3 linked regions of the Canis lupus familiaris genome follow. The protein of the gene in region 2 interacts with the protein of the main gene of each other region in a biochemical or structural test. Links are inferred from orthologs where the notes say so. Each region holds a gene or a part of one and is shown on either strand. Other genes may lie near its edges.

Region 1 (5,963 bases), on a different chromosome or scaffold from region 2:
GCTTGTAGATCATTCATATGTGCCTGAGGGGGAAAAACTAGCTTTATTGGCCCTGAAGATAAAAACCATCCCCTTCCTTGCTGTCATACCTGCCTTAATGGGTTTTTCTGCATTAAATCTCAGCTGTTTTATAGGATTATTCTATGTCAAAGGCAGTGCTGATGAAATAATATCAGTGGGCTCTAGAACATGCTGAATGCCTTTTTGATTCAGAAACTAAGTTCTTGCGGTGCCTGGGTAGCTTAGTGGTCTGCCTTTGGCTCGGGTCGTGATCTTGGGGTCCCCGCCCCTCTCTCTCTCATGAATAATTAAAATCTTAAAAAAAATAAAAAGCAACTAAGTTCCATATAAACTAGAAGTATCAGAAAGGAGAACATAATTCTTAAGTCAGTCAGCTAATAGGAAATTCTTGACAACTCAGCCAACTTACAGAAAATCCAATGAGAATATCTTTGATTCTGAAAGGATGTGCTGTGCTCATCGTCTCACTGGGTTGTTTTAGGGGCCCATATTGATGGAGCTACAGACTTACCGTTACCATGGACACAGCATGAGCGACCCTGGTGTCAGGTATGGTCATGGGAAATCTGGGTGTGGTGTCCCTGGGTGGGTGGGCTTTGTATGGTGCTACTCATATGAAAAAGCAAAGCATTTCAACATTTGCTTTGGAAGCCAGACACCAGTGGGCTTCATGCGGTGAATTTGTTGGTATCGAGTAATTATTTGAGTCTTTGCCTGGAAGCATTCGGAAAATCCTTATTTGTAGTATGTACATGTTAGCATGAGCAGTAATGAATTGCAGAGAAGGGGGCACCTGGCTGGCTTAGAGGGGAGAGCATGTGACTTGGGATTTGTGATGTTATGGGTAGAAGTTACTTTACAGAGAGAAACTGTTGGATAAAACAGGTCAATGGTATAGCATATATATATTTAGGGACATGTAGCTTTTGTAGGCATTACCCAAATATAGAGTTGAAATGTGAAAACTTGGCTGGTATGGAGTGAGGCCACCTGGCACGTGGGATATTCAGTATATTGAAATCAATCGGTCAAAAAAAAGGTAAGTTACATTAGGAAGATAGTTTTACTTGCCACTTAGTGACCCTGGCATGTAATGCTGCCATCCCAGAGTGTGACAGAGTTAAAAGTAGTAGATTTAGTCAATAAGCCCTAACAAGCCTGAGAGTAGATTGGTATTCTAAGAGAAATGTTATAAAGAACAACTTAGATGGAAAAATGTACTTGGTATTTTCAAAAAAACAATAGAGCCCTTTTAGTGGTGGTTGGAAGATATAAGACAAGGATGTATGTACAGTTGACCTTTGAGCAACACAGGTTTCAACAACATGGGCCCACAGATCCAGGGATTTTCTTTTTTCATTTCTCTTGACTATAACACTTCTTTCCAACTTCCGTTAAGAGCACACTATATAGACTAATACATGGAAGTAACATACAAAATACGTGTTAATAAAGTGTTATTCATAAGACTTGTTTTTCGGGAGTCAACATTTGCAGATTTTCAACTGTGTGTATGGGCGGTTGGCGCTCTTAACTGACTCTCGAACACCGTGGGGCTTCTTTTCTAGAATCAGGAATTGGAAAACCTGTGCAAGTGTTCACTGGCCTCACTTCTCTGGGCTCCTAAAGCCTGATTTCCTGCTTGGTATTCTGCTACCTGCCAGTGACGTGAGAGGGCACAGGCAGTGGCTCTACCACTTCCTTCAGATCCTACATCTGGATCAAAAAAGCAAATAAAAGCTTGGCCCCTCCTCTTCAGAACACCTGAGAAGCCAGGGGAATCGTCAGGGTAGAGTTTGCCTCTAAGATTCTAGTATCTTTCATGGAAGAGTTCTTGTATTCTATGTGCACCCTCCCCCGGTGACCGCTCTGTGTCCGAAGCCCACGTCTCTGGAGCTGTCCTTACCTACTGTTTGTCTTCCTGTAGTTACCGTACACGAGAGGAGATTCAGGAAGTAAGAAGTAAGAGCGACCCTATCATGCTTCTCAAGGATAGAATGGTGAACAGCAACCTGGCCAGTGTCGAGGAACTAAAGGTAGGCTCGCCTTTTCCAGCAACCAGTTTTTTTTTTGCACCCAGAGAGCTGCCACTCCTGGGGGAGCTGCCTGGGTCAGTGGGAAAGTATGGGTCAGTCATATTCGCAAAACCTTGAAACCCAGGAGCTGTTTTTTCCTAAAAATATACTTTGGATGTTCGGTTCATAAAGAGCCCCTGTTAGTACTTCTATTCCTAGGAGAGTTCTAGTTGTACTAGCAACCTGTTCCAAGTAGACCTGCTTGTATCTATGCTGCTGTTTACTCAGTAACCTCCTGAACTATAATCTGATTTATAGGAAATTGATGTTGAAGTGAGGAAGGAAATTGAGGATGCTGCCCAGTTTGCCACTGCTGATCCGGAACCGCCTTTGGAAGAACTAGGCTATCACATTTACAGCAGCGATCCGCCTTTTGAAGTTCGGGGTGCAAATCAGTGGATCAAGTTTAAGTCTATCAGTTAATAATAGATAGTTACACCTTCAGTGGGATCCAACTCTAAGGGTCTTTGTGTTCTCAAATTTGTTAAGGAAGAAAAGCCCATAAAAAGAATATAGGCTAAGGTAGTAATTGCATGTGTTTTGTACAACAACTGTACAACAGTGTTGCATTAAAAGATGTTACTGCACACTTAGTGTGAATATTATATAAGGTTATTTTAGATTCAGATTTTTCCTTAAAATAGTTCTATTCCTTTTAATAACTGAAAAATAGTATACAACTAAATCAAAAGCCATTCATTCCTACGTTTGAGGGGAGTGGGATCATTCCCTTGACCCTTGGCAAGGGCCCCTGTGCCTCACCTAACAGCAAATACTACATGCACACCCTCCTCAGTGTGCGTGTGGGAGCTAAAGCCTCTTCACACTGACCATCATTTTTCAGTAAAAGTATATTATCTCCAGTCAGGGAGGTAGAAGGACAATTCCAGTTTTATTTTTTTAAGGATTTTATTTTTAAGTAATCTCTAGACCCAACATGGGGCTCGAACTCCCAACTCTGAGATCAAGACTCAAATGCTCCATCAGCTGAGCCAGCTAGGTGCCCCAACAATGCCATTTTTAAATAAGACCATAATCATTTCAAAGGCCAAATAACTTAGTTTTCTTCATTTATACATTAAATACAAAGCTATTTTCTTAATAGTTTTCTATTTACATTCATATCAAACATTAAATACAAGGCATATTCTTAAGTACAATGCCAGTTTATAGTAAGCTATGGTCTAAAACAGTGAGGCCCAGCCTGTTACTTTAGGGTGTATATTGAAATTTGTTTAAAAGATTCCATAATATTCTGGGATGTCAAATTAGAGTTCAGCCACTGTTCTCACAATACGTAAGTTCTACTCACCTTTAAAACATGTTGGTAAGAGATTTAAAAAGCTCATCCCATTTCAGCAATTCGTTAAAACTTCAAACTCTTAAATAACGGGGTTTTCCTTATGTAAACTTAGTGGAATTCGGGTGTATGTTAACAGAAATCTTAAGAAGGATGTCAGCTCTTCGCTCCCTCTGTCCCCTGGCCTAAGCCGACTGGTTCAGCCTCATCTCGGGCGGCTGGAGACCCCTGAGCCCTTCTGTACTGGCAGACTGCTGTCCAGAGCCGGCAGAGGCAACCACCACTAGGAGACAAATGAGGCTGCTTTAGAGTCGTAAGCACACCACCGAGTACTTCTTTAGGAGCTCTTAAGCTACAGTGTACAACTCTAGACCTGTCTAGATTGCCAAAATGCAGTTCCTCGCTTAACTAGAGGTCTTTCGTCTTGTATTTGGGCTCCAGTAGGAGGGCCAGGTGGCTCTGCGGAGCAGGCTGAGGAAGGAGGGGCTGGAGAGAGCTCTGGGGTTTCACCTCCCACTGGTACCCAACTCTACCCTAAGGAAACTCTGGAGTGAGAGAGGAGGTTGGGTAGTTGGTTTTCTGACTAAGCCATAGCCATACATAGGAAGGAGAATTGATTTCAGTGAAGGAGTAAAGTGACCACCACTTTGTTTTCTACTGATTTAAAAGCACAATCACATCAAAAAAGTCATTTTCTATTACAGTGTTTTGAAGCCATTCTTACCGTAGTCTAAGGTGTCTTAGATCTTCCCTAGTGATGTCATTAAGAATATCAGAAAGGGTATAACCTTCTTCAACAATCTGAAACAAAAATCGAATACAGAAGAGCTAAGCTGCTTTGTAAGAAGGGCATAGGAATGCTTTTTTGTTAGAAATTTACCTTTTCTATTGTACTCGAATCTGCTCCTTGCAGTTGTAACCAGTCCACAAGCTCTTTATCAGTTTTCTGCTCCTGAGACCCAGGAGGGGATGCTGAATTCTCTGTAGTATCTGCAACGATGTGAGATGTATTTTGTTGTATGTTAATGTTTAAAACTCTTCAAAAGTAACAAGGTGGATGAAATAAACTATTATACAACATAAAGGTGATTTGAAAGAAAATGAATTTAAACCTGTGTGAACTGGGGATCCCTGGGTGGCGCAGCGGTTTGGCGCCTGCCTTTGGCCCAGGGCACGATCCTGGAGACCCGGGATCGAATCCCACGTCGGGCTCCCAGTGCATGGAGCCTGCTTCTCCCTCTGCCTGTGTCTCTGCCTGTGTGTGTGTGTGTGTGTGCGTGTGTGCGTGTGTGTGTGTGTGTGTGTGTGACTATCATAAATAAAAAAATTTTTAAAAAACTGTGTGAACTGTTCTAATTCATACTACACAACACTCCCTAGTTGGTGGATTCACTTCCCAGAGATTAAAGGGACCACAGGTAAGGGTGAGGTTACTTGCGAATCTGATATGCTTGCTATCTGTCTACCACCTTAAAAAAATAAAGATTTTATTTATTTATTCATGAGAGGCAGAGACACAGGCAGAGGGAGAAGCAGGCTCCATGCAGGGAGCCCGACGCGGGACTCCATCCCAGGACTCCAGGATCATGCCTGGAGTTGAAGGCAGACGCTTAACTGCTAAGCCACCCTGGCATCCCTCTATCTGCCACTTTAAATGCTTATTACAGTCTGTAAAATGCCTCTTGTAAGGAATCTCATCCTTAACTGCACTGGAAATCAAATGAGGAAATAGACTTCAGTCCTGAGATTTTGTGCCCGTGCTTATCCATCCCACATTCCAAGAGGTGCCTGCAGCTCTTTGCTAAGTGGCCTGAAGTGGATCAGGTTTAACTTGTGCAATAAATCTGCAATCACCCTTTTTAGGTATGTAAGGGCCGTGCCCTTTGACAGGCAGTCATGTAACCACTACTGTCATCAAGATGACAAATTTCTGTCACCCCCAGAAGTTCTTGCAGCCTTTTATAATCATTCTCCCCCCACCCCCAATTCTGATGTTTTCGGTCCCTAGAGTTTTGCCTTTAACAGAGTTTTGCATAAATATTCCATATTTAGGTGCTCATAGCATGTAGCCTTTTGAATCTGCCTTCACTGAGCATAATGCATTTGTGATTCATCCATGTTTTTGAATGTACCAGTGGTTTTCTGTTACTGAGGAGTATTCCAGAATATACTGGAGTACTTACTGCTTTACTAGAGAGTAACTGCAACTGTGGCAAGGCTGACTAGCCATTTTAAGTGGTCTCACACACAAAGCAAGTGGAAAATTTCTCACCATTAGATTTGAATTGTAACTGAAGATGATACAATTCCTGAGTTTTCCGCTCCAGGGTTTGCCGTAGAAGATTCTGGTACTCTCTTTCTTTCTGAACTAGGTGTTCCAAAAGTCTGGTTAAAAAAAATGCCATTATTCAGAGAGAGCCTAACACCATTCACACTGCCTGCTTTCAGCCTGGGCACCTTCCTTGTGTTCCCTGCCCTTGAAAACAAAGTCCGGCACTTGGCATTTTGTCTCAACGTGTATCACAAACCAGAAGATAACCTGAGGGTGAGCAGCATGCTCAGCCAGG
Region 2 (5,953 bases):
ATGTCCTGGCCTCATAAACTGTTTCCTATAGGAAATTTTCACTATTTTAAATTTATTATAAACAGATGTCAACATTTCCATTCAAAACTACAAAATTCCGGACAGTATTTATTCTATGTGACAACTGCAGGAAGTGTACTTCTAGACTTTCAGAAAATAGCTCCCAAGTGAATGTAACATTCAAATGGAAGTTTGGTTTACCTTCCTGGAATTAAAACTGCACATTTTCGCTCAAAAATCTAATTCAATAGAGTAAAAGATAGCTGTCACCATTCCCTAATGAAAATAACAGCTTTTGAAAGGCAAGAAAAAAGGCCTAAAGTTTTACAGGAAAAATGGGCAACCTTGAACTGGAATGAAAGGACCTAGAAACACATTCCAAACCACTAAAATGCAATCTGATTGATGAAAAAGATTTTTAAATTACAGTTGATCTGTGTATAACTATGTACAATATTGGCCTTGGTGAGGAAAGAGTAAGAATGATAATAACATACACCTATATTGTGTTTATTACCACTGTTCTTATAAATATGGATTAAGTTTCATGTTATAAATTAAAAGAAACAAAACTGGCAATCTTGTCTTTTCCTATCAAAATCCTATGGTTAGCAATTGCTAAAGAAATATGAAGACTCTAGGAAAAAGTGAGCAGTATGTCTAATTCTTTCCAAACATGTAAGTAGAACAAAAGGTCAGTAGTCCTAGAATGCCTGAACTAAGCAAACCAGCATGTTCTTTTTTAACATATGTAAAATCCTTCACACCTCATTATACTATTTTTTTCAAGCACTGGGCTTGACTGTAAGAAGATGAATCATTGGGGCCAGAAGTTAATCACATATGATGAAAAGTTCCTCCAGGAAAAGCCGTTTGCTAACCAGCTAGCTCAATTCTGATTACCCATCTGCTAAAACTTTATGACAAAGCAATTGAAGACACAAACTCAAGTTGGTTGACTGATTTTTGGCTTCCCCTCTGATTAGCCATTCACAGGCCACCAAGGTCCAGTAATGATAATGGTTTGTTTGCCCAGTTTTTCACCTATGGAGTTTGTTACGGAGCTTGTTGGGATTAACAATGATGGGAAGTTGTAGTCATATCCCATTATTCAGGAATAGAGATAGGCACCTATCTTTGACTAGATTTAGTTCTGACTTTTCAACTGGTACAGAGGGGACTGCTAGTTAAATTAAGACCTTTCTTATAGGGGCAGCCTGGGTGGCTCAGCGGTTTAGTGCCTCCTTCAGTCCAGGGCATGATCCTGGAGACCCAGGATTGAGTCCCACGTCAGGCTCCCTGCATGGAGCCTGCTTCTCTCTCTGCCTGTGTCTCTGCCTTTCTGTCTGTCTCTCATGAATAAATAAATACAATCTTAAAAAAAAGGACCTTTCTTATAATTACTTATATTATGAAAACTTACTCAAAGAGCACATTAATATAACCTTTCAAAAATCACACAACAGAAGATCTTCACTTGTGTGGTGAGTTGGTCCATCAGTGGATGTTTGGATAATGAAAATCTGGGATAACTCAAACCATACAAATTCTATCTCCTGCCTTTTCCATTAGAATATACACATCGGAAATCTAAGTTCTAAACATTTCCTCAACTGAAGATGGGGAGACTTAGTGTGAGCCATCTAGGTACAACCATTTGAGTGTTTATAGAACACCGACCCTTGATGGAAGAGACTTTAATTGAAAAAAATATATATTATTTAAAAAAACCTAAATCGATCCAATTAATTTTCAAAATAAGAGTTGATCCATGTTTTCAGTTTATTGCCACACACAAAACATTTTATAAAATAATATGGTAGACTTCCACTTTAACATCTTCATGTAAAAACTTCACAGTGCAAGAAAGTGATCACTATTTAGTATGAAGACATCTAAAGCCAGCCAGTAATTTAAGTATAGGTCAGAATATTTTTGCGAATCTTCCTAAAAAATGTTGGCACATTTATTCAATGCCCAGGTATAAAAATCACTTAGTATCCACTTCTTATCCTTCTGTATATTTTTATATCTATATGGCATCACACTAAATGCTGGTGGACAAAACAACCTAAGAATTTAAAAACTTTTCAGGTAGCGCAATGATTTGAAACCACCGAGGAGAATGCTAGCCCCCAGACATTTTTGTATGTAATCTTCTGTCCATTACCACATAATAAAGTAAAAAAGCTGTTATACCTTAAAAAGAAGCTAAAGGAAAACATTTCACTTTTGCTTTAAAAACATCATTTCTTAGCTCATAAATAGAGAAAAGCTTTAATTTGGGGGGGAGGGGAAGTGTTTCAGAAGTAAAACAGCAAGTTTATGTCAGTTGTACAAATGTTTCATTTAGGAAAGAAAAGTATTTTGATTCAAAGAATTCTAAAATATTTCATCATTACAAAAAAAGTGTAATTTAAAGCTAAAAAACGGTAATACCTTGAACTAATATAAATCATCCACTAGCATATCTTATTATTTTTCACAAAATCCATAATTAAGGAACAATCGATTGGGTAAAGGATCTTTTTCCAACATTTGGTCAAATTAGCTAAGAAGCCCTGAGTCTCAGGGCTGTCACCTCTCAAATGAGGGTCCTGGACTGCCCTTTTACAACCCTTCTGATTTACAAATTTATATAGAATTGTTAAACTCATGGAATCCTTTTGAGAATGAGGTGTTGCCACCAGATGTATTTTCCAGATAAAGTTCCCACATTTAAGTAGTAAAGTTGTTCTTTAAAAATTCAAAATCTTACTTTAAAATTTATTTTTGATATATTTCCCTGTCACTTTAAAAGTTGAGTTGTGACTAACCCCATACTCCCCTAACGTCCTCGTGGTCTCCCAGAGCTGGCGGCTGGCAGTGATCCGCAGAGAGAGTTCAGGCCCTGACTCCAATGCTGTGCAACTTCTGGCCACACTCTGAGTCTCAAAACAAGGATGATACCACCCCCTCTGTACCTGTTTTAAAGCCCAAGGGAGTGATCATATTATACCAAAGTATTTGTAAAATGCAAATTATCATATGAATGCAAAGAACTGCTGCTAAGTCCTAGGTGAATTTTTCCTGATAACCAAGTCTAGGTATTTCTCATAAAATAAATGTACTTCGTCAATCCTTGTGCATTTATGGTTCTGATTCTTCAGTTACCAGACTGTCTGCATGTAGTCACTGTGTCTCCTGCTTTTAACTGCACCAGGCCTGAGAGTGTTGGTCTCTCCTGGAGTCTAGAAGTCTGACCTTTCAATATTAAGAATCAAAATCTAAAGATCTCTGTTACCTTAGCAAATGTGGTAACATTACTCACTTTAAAGGAGTAGTTCCCTAACTAGGTGAGGCATTAGACTCATCTAGGAAGCATTCTAAAAATTGAGATTTCTGGGCTCCAGCTGTAGAGTCTGATTATATATATGTCTGGAGTAAGACCCAGAAAAATTCTGTTCAAAATCTCCCCCAGGTAATCTCAATAATTGATAGTTCGAGGACTCACTGCTTTGACCTCAATTTCTTCTCTAGAATTTTAGCAGCTGCTAGTTTGTTTTTAGTGTAAAAATTTCTCCCTGCATTTAATCACATGCATATTCAGAGTAGATTGCCCACCATCTTGGCTTAGCTACATAGGGAACCTATTGCAATCCTTTGCAATGAAATTAAAAAATGGTAAGTCAACTTCAGAGTGAAGATGATACATGTAGATGCTGAAAGGTGGCTGGTGCTAGACTTGCAGAGCAACTATCTTTTGCTTTACTTATAGTTAGTCACTGGTACATCTGAGGACCATCTTTTTACAATTGTCATTACGCATTAATAATGGAGGTCACAACTCCAAAAACCGGATGGCTAACTAGCTTAATCAGTATCATTAAGAAAATGTTTCTAGCACACATAAATGAAAAGTTCTTTAAAAACCACACAGCTTTCTGTTAGAAACCCAAAGACTTCCATGCTTCTGAAGTCTACCATAAAGAGGAAAGTTGACCAAAACTACAGTTGTTTAAAAATATGTTCAATTAACTGTGAAAATATAAGTGCAAAATAGGTACAATTTCATCCTTTAGGAGGTTTAACAGACATAAATGGAATTCACTTCCCATTTATTCTACCCAAATAGTTAATTTTGAAAATAACACGTGAAGTATTTGGTATAATGTAGTTCTGAACGTCATCCCTTCCAAATTTAATACAAAAGCCACATTTGGATGTTCACGGTGTCCCAAGTGTATCTAGGCACTGCGAAATGTTGTCATGTCTTTTGGTTCTCTGCTGGGGACACACCAGTCGTCAGCCTCATGGTTGGTATTGTAATGCTTCCAGGCAGCCTTGTTATACACTGGCAGTCTCTCTATTGATTCTGTTGACAGAGCCTGAAAGAAAAAGTGGGATCTAAATCTGGCTTTTTTTTTTTTTAAATCCACTATTTGAGAAAATATACAGTGGCATAAGGTTACTACAAATTAAACAGCGCTTTATTGGATTTGTATTTCACTAATCATTAACACCATCTACATACATTTTGAAATGGTGTATATATGTAACACATTATTTACTAGTAAGTCCATGGCACTGCTTGTTGTGCATATTGAGTTTTTTTGTTTGCAGTCATTGTCCAGCAGCCTCGAAGCTGCTGAATTGAAATTTTATATAGGTATAGGAGATGCTTCTTATAAAAACATGACCCATAACAGAAGTTGGTTAATTGAAAAAGTCATTTAAGGGGTGCCTGGGTGGCTCAGTTAGTTGAGCATCTACTTTTGGCTCAGGTCATGATCTTGAGGTCCCAGGATTGAGCCCTACATCAGGCTTCCTGCTCAACAGGGACCCTGCTTCTCTCTCTCTCCCTCTGCCCCACTTCAACTACTCATGCTCTCTGTCAAATAAAATCTTTAAAAAAATTCATGTAAAAGCAGAAAAATTGACATATGTTCCTTAATATATAATTGTACAATCATTTAATGGAATCTATTTCAATTATTTTAAGATTTATTTTTTAAAACTTTTTATTTATTTATTCATGAGACACACAGAGAGAGAGGCAGAGACATAGGCAGAGGGAGAAGTAGGCTTCCATGCAAGAGTCGGAGTAGAACTTGATCTCAGGATTCCAGAATCACCACCTGAGCTAAAGGCAGAGGCTAAGCCAGTGTGCTACCCAGGAGCCCCCTGTTTCAACCATTTGTTAGAAGAAACACTTTTTTTTCATCGGAGTCACTGTACTTTAAAAAAGTCATCATAACAAAATATAATAACTATAAATACAAAACTTTATCTAAGGCATCTTGGCTTTTGATTGAAAAATTCTTAGCCTTGGCTCTGACCCTGTGCCTTCTCCTCCTGCCATTAAGGCCACCAATTTCACTTATAGCATATATGTTACCCACATTGTGCATAATTTCATGTTTCCAACATATCATTACCATTAATTCACTGTTCTATCTCAGATTCCTGCAAATTACCAGAACTTGAGATAAACCATGTTCCTTCTTATCTTCTTTCAGTAGGATTTCAACCTTAAGCCATGGATATTTCCCAAGATATAGAAAATATTAAACAGGAAATTTCATTCTGAGAATAGAAAGGAAAGTCTTTGACATTGATTTTAATTTTTTTTTTTTTTTTAAGGTAGGCTCCGTGCACGGCATGGAGCCCGACAGGGGCTTGAACTCATGACCTCAAGATCAAGACCTGAACTGATATCAAGAGTTGGATGCTCAACCGATTGAGCCAACCAGGTGCCCCTGATTTTAATGATTTTGTAATATTCCTGTCTTCTATTTTTTCCAAAGCGAAATTAAAATCCTTTCACCTACATATTCTCTTTAAATGCCTCAGAATTGCCAGAACCCCTTCATCTATGGGCTAGATAAAAAGTGTTACATTTGGTGGAAAAAATGTTACCTTCATGTTGCCCTTTTCAAATTACTCACAATTGAGATGGTTTAAAAGAAAAGAA
Region 3 (6,321 bases), on a different chromosome or scaffold from region 2:
TGGGCTGTCGGAGGGCAGAGCCCGGTGGTGGCAGACCTCAGGGCAGGGTAGTGGCTGGGAGCTGAGCAGGGTGGGGGCGCCCCGTCTCGCAGACAGGGCGGAGGCCCACCCGGTGTGTGCGGCCTGCAGGGGAGGGGAGAATGGAAACCAGGTGGGAGTCTATTTGGTGACAGGTGTGCAGCACGCCCTGGTCCAGGCTTCCTGACCTGCTGGGCCACTGCGCCCCTCAAGTCCCTCAGAGGGCAAAGGACAGAGGAATGGGGGCAAGCGGCAGCTGCCTCGCTCCTGGGAGGCCTCCTGCATGCGCTAGGCAAGCGGGTGCTGTGCCCCGATCCCACGTGCTCAGGGCGGCAGGACGGACTATGGACAAGTGGAGAGAGTGGGAGGGCAGGGTTAGGGCCCCCGCTCCACTGCCAGGCTTCACGGGCAGCCTCAGGGACGGGGAAGCCTGAGGCCCAAAGCTGACAGGGCGCCGGGTTCGGGGAGTCCACGCCCCCACACTCCCTCTGGGGGTTGGACCGAGGGAGGACCCTGCGGGAGGACCCTGTTCGGGGCTTGGGAGGAAATCCCGCAGTGCAGACCCTGTAAGCCTGGAGAAGGGGTGGGAAGGGGGGAGATGCGCCAGGCCACCCACACACCTTCTTCTCGTACACGTCCTGCCACACGATGCTAGCGAAGAAGCGGTGCTGCATGATCTCCTTGGCGTCCTCTGAGCCCCCTCCGAGCCTGCGGAGGGACACGTCAGGGGCTGCCATGCCTGGCTCAGGGCTCGGGCCCCTCACCGGGCCCTCCTCCTGCTGGGGTCTCGGGGCAGCAGGGAGGACGGTGCAGGGGGCACAGCCTGGGGCTGGGGGGCACGGGAGAGGGGAGCCGGTTTGAGGGTGATGGTCCTGGGGCGGGGGATGGCACTGCCTCCCTGGGGGCAGTGGACAACACCAGGCCATGGGCCAGGCTCCTGCACGAGGAGGACGTCGGGGAGGCAGGTGCTGCCGGCAGGGCAGGGTCTTCCTGAGCAGGTGTGAGAGGCTGCGAGGTCCCCATCGGCCCTGGCCGAGGACGTCACACATCAGCCACCAGCGTGGCCCGGAGGCTGGCCCGCTGTCCCTGGGGGGCACGGGCACGGGGGTGGGGTGGCCCACCAGCCCCCTGCTGGCTCAGGGCCGCGGGCTCACCTCTGCTTGGGGTCCTTTTTGAGCAGCCCTGAGAGCAGGGACTTGGCCTCAGGGCTGAGCGTGCGCGGGAAGCGCAGCTCCTCCATGAGGATGAGCTCGAAGAGCTTCTCGTGGTCCTGGTTGTAGAAGGGCAGGCGGCCGCACAGCATCTCGTACATGACCACGCCCAGCCCCCACCAGTCCACCGCCCGGCCGTAGTCGTTGTCCTCCAGCACCTGGGGACGCAGGGGCGCGGGTCACAGGCCGCCCGGGGGACGCGGGGGCCCAGGCCCCCTGGGGACGCGGCAGGTGCGCACCTCGGGGGCCAGGTACTCGGGCGTCCCGCAGAAGGTCTTCATGGTGGCTCCGTCCTTGATGCCTTCCTTGCACAGCCCGAAGTCCGTGATCTTGATGTGCCCGTCCTTGTCCAGCATGAGGTTCTCCAGCTGTGGGGGGGCGGGTCAGTGCCAGCCCCACCCCCTGCAGCGCACCCCCCAGGCCGCTCCCGCCCGCCCACCTTGAGGTCGCGGTAGACCACGTTCTTCTCCGAGTGCAGGTAGTCCAGGGCCGACACGATCTCGGCGCCGTAGAAGCGCGCCCGGTCCTCGGGGAACACCCGCTCCCGGGACAGGTGGAAGAAGAGCTGCGGGACAAGGGCGTGACGGTGTGGGGGCTGCGGGCCGAGACCCTGCCTCCCGGGCGGGACCCCAGGGCTCAGGGCCAGCCCCACGCACGCCGCGGCCACCCTACCTCGCCCCCGTTGGCGTACTCCATGACGAAGCAGAGGCGGTCGTGGGTCTGGAAGGAGTACTTCAGGGCCTGCGAGGGAAGCAGAGCTGGTACGCGGCCCCCGGGCCCCGCAGGACGCCCGACGCCCACGGGCCGGTCTTGAATCTCAGGCAGGTAGGGTCCCGGAAGCTGGCGATCCTGGTGACCGCGTGGAGGCTTCCCCCGGGCTCGGGGCCCAGCGCGGGACGGGGTACGGTCGGCAAGGGGAGGACACGCCTGGGCAGAGCTTCCCGGCCGCCCTCCCACCCCACACCACCAGCGGCCTGGCCGTACACGGACCGAGTCGTCCCCACAAGTGACTGACCCCGGGTCTAGCCCAGCCGCCGGGGAGGAGCCCCATCCACGGAAAACACAGGACAGGCTGGTCTCTACCGGCCACAGACTCGGGCAGCGGGGATAAGCTGTGCCCCGTGAGCCCTGTCCCCTTGGAGAACCTGCAGAGGGGGTGCCACCGCCAGGGCCGGGGGTGGGGGGGGCAGCGTGCACGGACCCCGGAGGCCCTGTCGAGCGCGGCAGGGTGCTGTGGTCATGGGGGTGCGCTGAGGGGGAGGGAAGGACACAGAGCCTGGACACGAGCAGCAGGAGCAAGGTGACACAAATCTCAGGCAAAGCCAGCATAAAGAATGAGTCTGGGCTAAAAAATGAGACCTTCTTTAAAAATGTCGGTCACTTCTCCTAAGAAAACGTTTTAAGGAACAGAAACTTTAGAGAAGTACAGCCCCTTCCCTACTTTGCTCCTGCTTTGGATCAGGCGGTCCCCTGGGCTGAGGACACCCTGAGTAGGTGACGCAGCCTGGGGGTGGGGGGGAGTCCCAGGGAGAGCCCGGGTGGGGGCAGCGCCCGGCCAGACCCTGCAGGTGAGCGCGGGCCCATCCACACCTCCCAGGAGCTGGCCGAGCCCGGGACGGCGCTAAGGCTAACGGCTTTCCGGACGCTCCTCCTGGGCCAAGGGCCCCCCAGGATGAGACCCTCCTGGCTCCAGCCTCAAGGGGGGAGTAGCCGGAAGGGGGCGTGCAGGGCAGGCACGGGGGCTTGGGGTCCTCCCAGGGCCTCGGGCAGCGCGGGGGGAGGAAGACCCCATTCCGTGCACGGGGGCACAAACCACCCCCGCCTCCCGGCATCCTCGCAGGTGTGCCCACCCTCGGCCAGGCACGCGGGGCTTCCGCGGACAGGCTGGTGGCAGGGAGCCCCCGGCCCAGAGCCTCACCCCCGCAGGCAGCCCGGCGCCTCCAGGACTCACCGTCAGGAAGGGATGCCGAGAGTTCTGGAGAACACGGTTCTCCGTGAGCGTGTGGGCAACCTCGTCCTGGAAGACAGAGCCCGGTGAGCCCCCGCCTGCCCCTGCCCGCCCCCACACCCCGGCCAGGCCCCGGCCCCGTGCCCCACCTTGGCCACAATGACCTCCTTCTTCAGGATCTTCATGGCGTAGTAGCGGCCCGTGGCCTTCTCCTTGACCAGGATCACCTTCCCAAACGTGCCCTTCCCCAGCAGCTTCAGGTACTCAAACTCATTCATGGTCTGTGGGGCGGCGGGCAGGCACCTGGGGTCAGGGCGGCCCGGACCCCCCCGCAATCCCGCATCCCAGCCCTACTCCTCCCACAGGGCTCCCAGTGGCCACAATGGGGCGGCCAGGCCCCTCTGAGCTGGGGGAGCGCCTCACCACACGGTGCTTGGGCTTGGCCAGGGACACCTCCATCTCCTCAGCCCCCGAGTTGTCACTGGGCGAGCCCGACCGGAAGTCCATCATCTCTTCCTCCTGCCTCTTGAGCCCGTCGGCCACTGTCTGGATGGCAGTCGTCCACTCCTCCCTGCAGGGCCGGCACGTGAGGCCCCGTGACCCCGGCCTGGACACGGGGGACAGCGAGGCCTGGCTCCCCACAGGGCGTGTGCCCTCCCCACCAGGGAGCAGAGGCCCCGGCACCCAGCTGCCCCGTGCATCCATCTCATACCGCTCCTCGGGTGTCTCCACGTGGAAGGTGCGCTCGATGACCGTGGTCCACTGCAGGCAACGGATGATGAAGGTGTTGGGCCTGGGCCGCTCAGTCTTCATCAGCTGACATTCTGGGGGCAGGGCTGGCAGGTGAGTCTGCACCCCCGCACACAGGGCCCACCTGCCCCCGGCCCCGGGACCCCACCACCAGGTCATGCAAAGCCCTATCCCATTCCCATTCCACGCCTTGGCTCCCCTGCTTGTAAAACCAGGGGTGGGACCCCTATTCCAGTCCTGACACTGTGCTGGCAGGCAGTGAGGTGCCCCTGCAGGGCTGGCTGAGGCCGGGTCACCTCGGCCCCATGTCATCCTCTCCCCTGGTCCTTCGGTCTCTGAGCCCGTGCTGCATGCCAGGCAGCTCAACTGGCCGGAGGGAGGAGGAGGAGGGATGCCCCAGGGGCGGGGCAGAGGAGGGAAAGCAGCTGGCCCCCGAGCAGGAACCCCCTGCCATTTACCCAGCCCACGCCCCCCCCAGCAGGGCCAGTCCCAGGGCAAAGGCCGGTGGGGACTCACCCTTCAGAGACGCCGCCTGTCCTGGGCAGGCAGCTGGAGGACATGACCCTCCCTGGAGGCTGCTCGGGCTGTACCCACCCCACACGATGGCATTCCCCCACCACCACCCGAGGCTGGGGATTCCAGGCGCATGGCAGGAACACGGAGACACATATCCAGAGCACGCACACACCTGGAGCATGCACAAACCTGGAATGTGTGCACACCGGGAGCTCATACACAGCTGAAACACACGCACACTAAGGAGCTCAGAAGCATGCTCATGGCCGGAACAGGCACACACTTGGAGCAGGCACACAGCTGGGATGCGTGCACACCGGGAGCTCACACAGCTGGAACATGCACGTGCCTGGAGCAGACACACAGCTGGATTGTATGCACACTAGGAGCTCATACACAGCTGAAACGCGGGCACACCTGGAACACACGCACACTAGGAGTTCCCACACACTGGAAGCTCACACACAGTTGGAACACACACACACCAGGGGCACGCTCATGGCTGGAGCACGCACACACCAGGACTGCACACACCTGAAGCGGGCACACAGCTGGACCAGACACACAGCAAGAGCAAAACACACCAGGAGAATGCACACGCCTGGAACAGGTACACAGCTGGAGCACGCACACACCTGGAGCAGGCACACAGCTGGAGCACACACACACCTGGTGCAGCCACACAGCTGGAGCAGGCACACAGCTGGAGCACGCACACACCTGGAGCAGGCACACAGCTGGAGCACGCACACAGCTGGAGCACGCACACAGCTGGAGCACACACACACCTGGAGCAGGCACACAGCTGGAGCACGCACACAGCTGGAACACGCACACAGCTGGAGCACGCACACACCTGGAGCAGGCACACACCTGGAGCAGGCACACAGCTAGAGCACACACACACACCAGTAATGCACGCACACCAGCAGCACAGGGGCTGTGGGGATGCACGAGGCCCCAAGAGGGGTGTGAGCCAGTCTGGGGTACCGCTGAGAAATTCTAGGGCGACGCTGGCCCAGTGTGTGTGAGGGCCCTAGCAACCTCAGGGGGGCCTGGCCGGGCTCGGCAGAGGTAAGGAGTGGTCTACCGGGGCTGGGCCTGGCCTATGTCAACATGGGGATGGGGGACAGAAAGCCTTGTGGCCTGTGTTCTCCGTCCCGCACACCTACCTCCCACTGGCTCATCAGAGACCACCAGCTTTTCCCAGAACCTAGGCGCCTGGTGTCCGTCCCACCCTGGCTTCCTGTGCCCCCACCCCTGGAATCCATCCCCAAGGAGAAGCCCGTAGCCACAGAGGCCCCCACCCAGCCACCTCCCCGGCTTCAGGGCCCCAGCCCCAGCCCCTCTGCATGGCGCCTGCCTCCCGAGAGCCTCTGTAGGCTCTCTGCCCGCAGGGAACATTCCCCAGGGCCCCCACAGCCCTGCCAGCAAGGTGGCACCCACCCCAGCCAAGGAGGCACTGGGCGGAGCCCAGCCAGCCACCAGGCTGCAGGGACAGGGGTGCCTACCTCCTTGGTCTCCCGTCACCCTGGAGCCCCTACTCTATGGCTGCTCCGAGGAAACCTGAAGACGCGGATGGGGTCAGGACTCAGTGGACCCGGGTCATGGTAAAGGTCCCCTGGGAGACCCCCAGGCAGGAGACTTACAGGGCAGGGGCTATGCTCCCCCCCGGACAGAAGCCCTCGGTGGGGGGCTACGCTGGCCATGCCCCTTGCCCCTACAGCACAGCGCTGGCTACACCGAGAGGGTGGGCAGGACAGCCAAGGTCCAGGACCGCCCAGCTCTATGTCCCTGCCGCCCACACGGAAGCCGTGAGTCCCTCCCCATCACCCCTGCCACCTCCCCGAGACTCTGGAGCAGAACCTGGGCCAGACG

Evidence for each region.
Region 1: the proteins of PDK1 (region 2) and PDHA1 form a complex in vitro, tested with the Homo sapiens proteins (2 studies listed by BioGRID, with this or other methods). The link is inferred for Canis lupus familiaris from reciprocal best matches to the Homo sapiens genes PDK1 and PDHA1.
Region 3: of the proteins of PDK1 (region 2) and AKT1, one has a biochemical effect on the other in vitro, tested with the Homo sapiens proteins (3 studies listed by BioGRID and IntAct, with this or other methods). The link is inferred for Canis lupus familiaris from reciprocal best matches to the Homo sapiens genes PDK1 and AKT1.

Annotation. Positions count from the first base shown.
Region 1 is NC_049260.1:15,427,351-15,433,313, forward strand, and holds the end of PDHA1 (pyruvate dehydrogenase E1 component subunit alpha, somatic form, mitochondrial), read left to right. Parts: intron 1-502; coding exon 503-570; intron 571-1,948; coding exon 1,949-2,057; intron 2,058-2,354; coding exon 2,355-2,519; 3' UTR 2,520-4,264; coding exon of another isoform or gene 4,265-4,386; 3' UTR 4,387-4,480; downstream 4,481-5,963. Other genes in the region: MAP3K15 (mitogen-activated protein kinase kinase kinase 15), read right to left, coding at 4,265-4,386, 5,669-5,781. UniProt on the Homo sapiens protein: The pyruvate dehydrogenase complex catalyzes the overall conversion of pyruvate to acetyl-CoA and CO(2), and thereby links the glycolytic pathway to the tricarboxylic cycle.
Region 2 is NC_049257.1:17,255,302-17,261,254, reverse strand, and holds the end of PDK1 (pyruvate dehydrogenase (acetyl-transferring) kinase isozyme 1, mitochondrial), read right to left. Parts: exon of another isoform or gene 5,623-5,953; intron 4,368-5,622; coding exon 4,227-4,367; 3' UTR 1,759-4,226; downstream 1-1,758. UniProt on the Homo sapiens protein: Kinase that plays a key role in regulation of glucose and fatty acid metabolism and homeostasis via phosphorylation of the pyruvate dehydrogenase subunits PDHA1 and PDHA2.
Region 3 is NC_049229.1:72,719,734-72,726,054, forward strand, and holds part of AKT1 (RAC-alpha serine/threonine-protein kinase), read right to left. Parts: intron 4,002-6,321; coding exon 3,890-4,001; intron 3,749-3,889; coding exon 3,601-3,748; intron 3,459-3,600; coding exon 3,327-3,458; intron 3,247-3,326; coding exon 3,181-3,246; intron 1,971-3,180; coding exon 1,902-1,970; intron 1,795-1,901; coding exon 1,669-1,794; intron 1,598-1,668; coding exon 1,469-1,597; intron 1,388-1,468; coding exon 1,173-1,387; intron 727-1,172; coding exon 639-726; intron 1-638. UniProt on the Homo sapiens protein: AKT1 is one of 3 closely related serine/threonine-protein kinases (AKT1, AKT2 and AKT3) called the AKT kinase, and which regulate many processes including metabolism, proliferation, cell survival, growth and angiogenesis.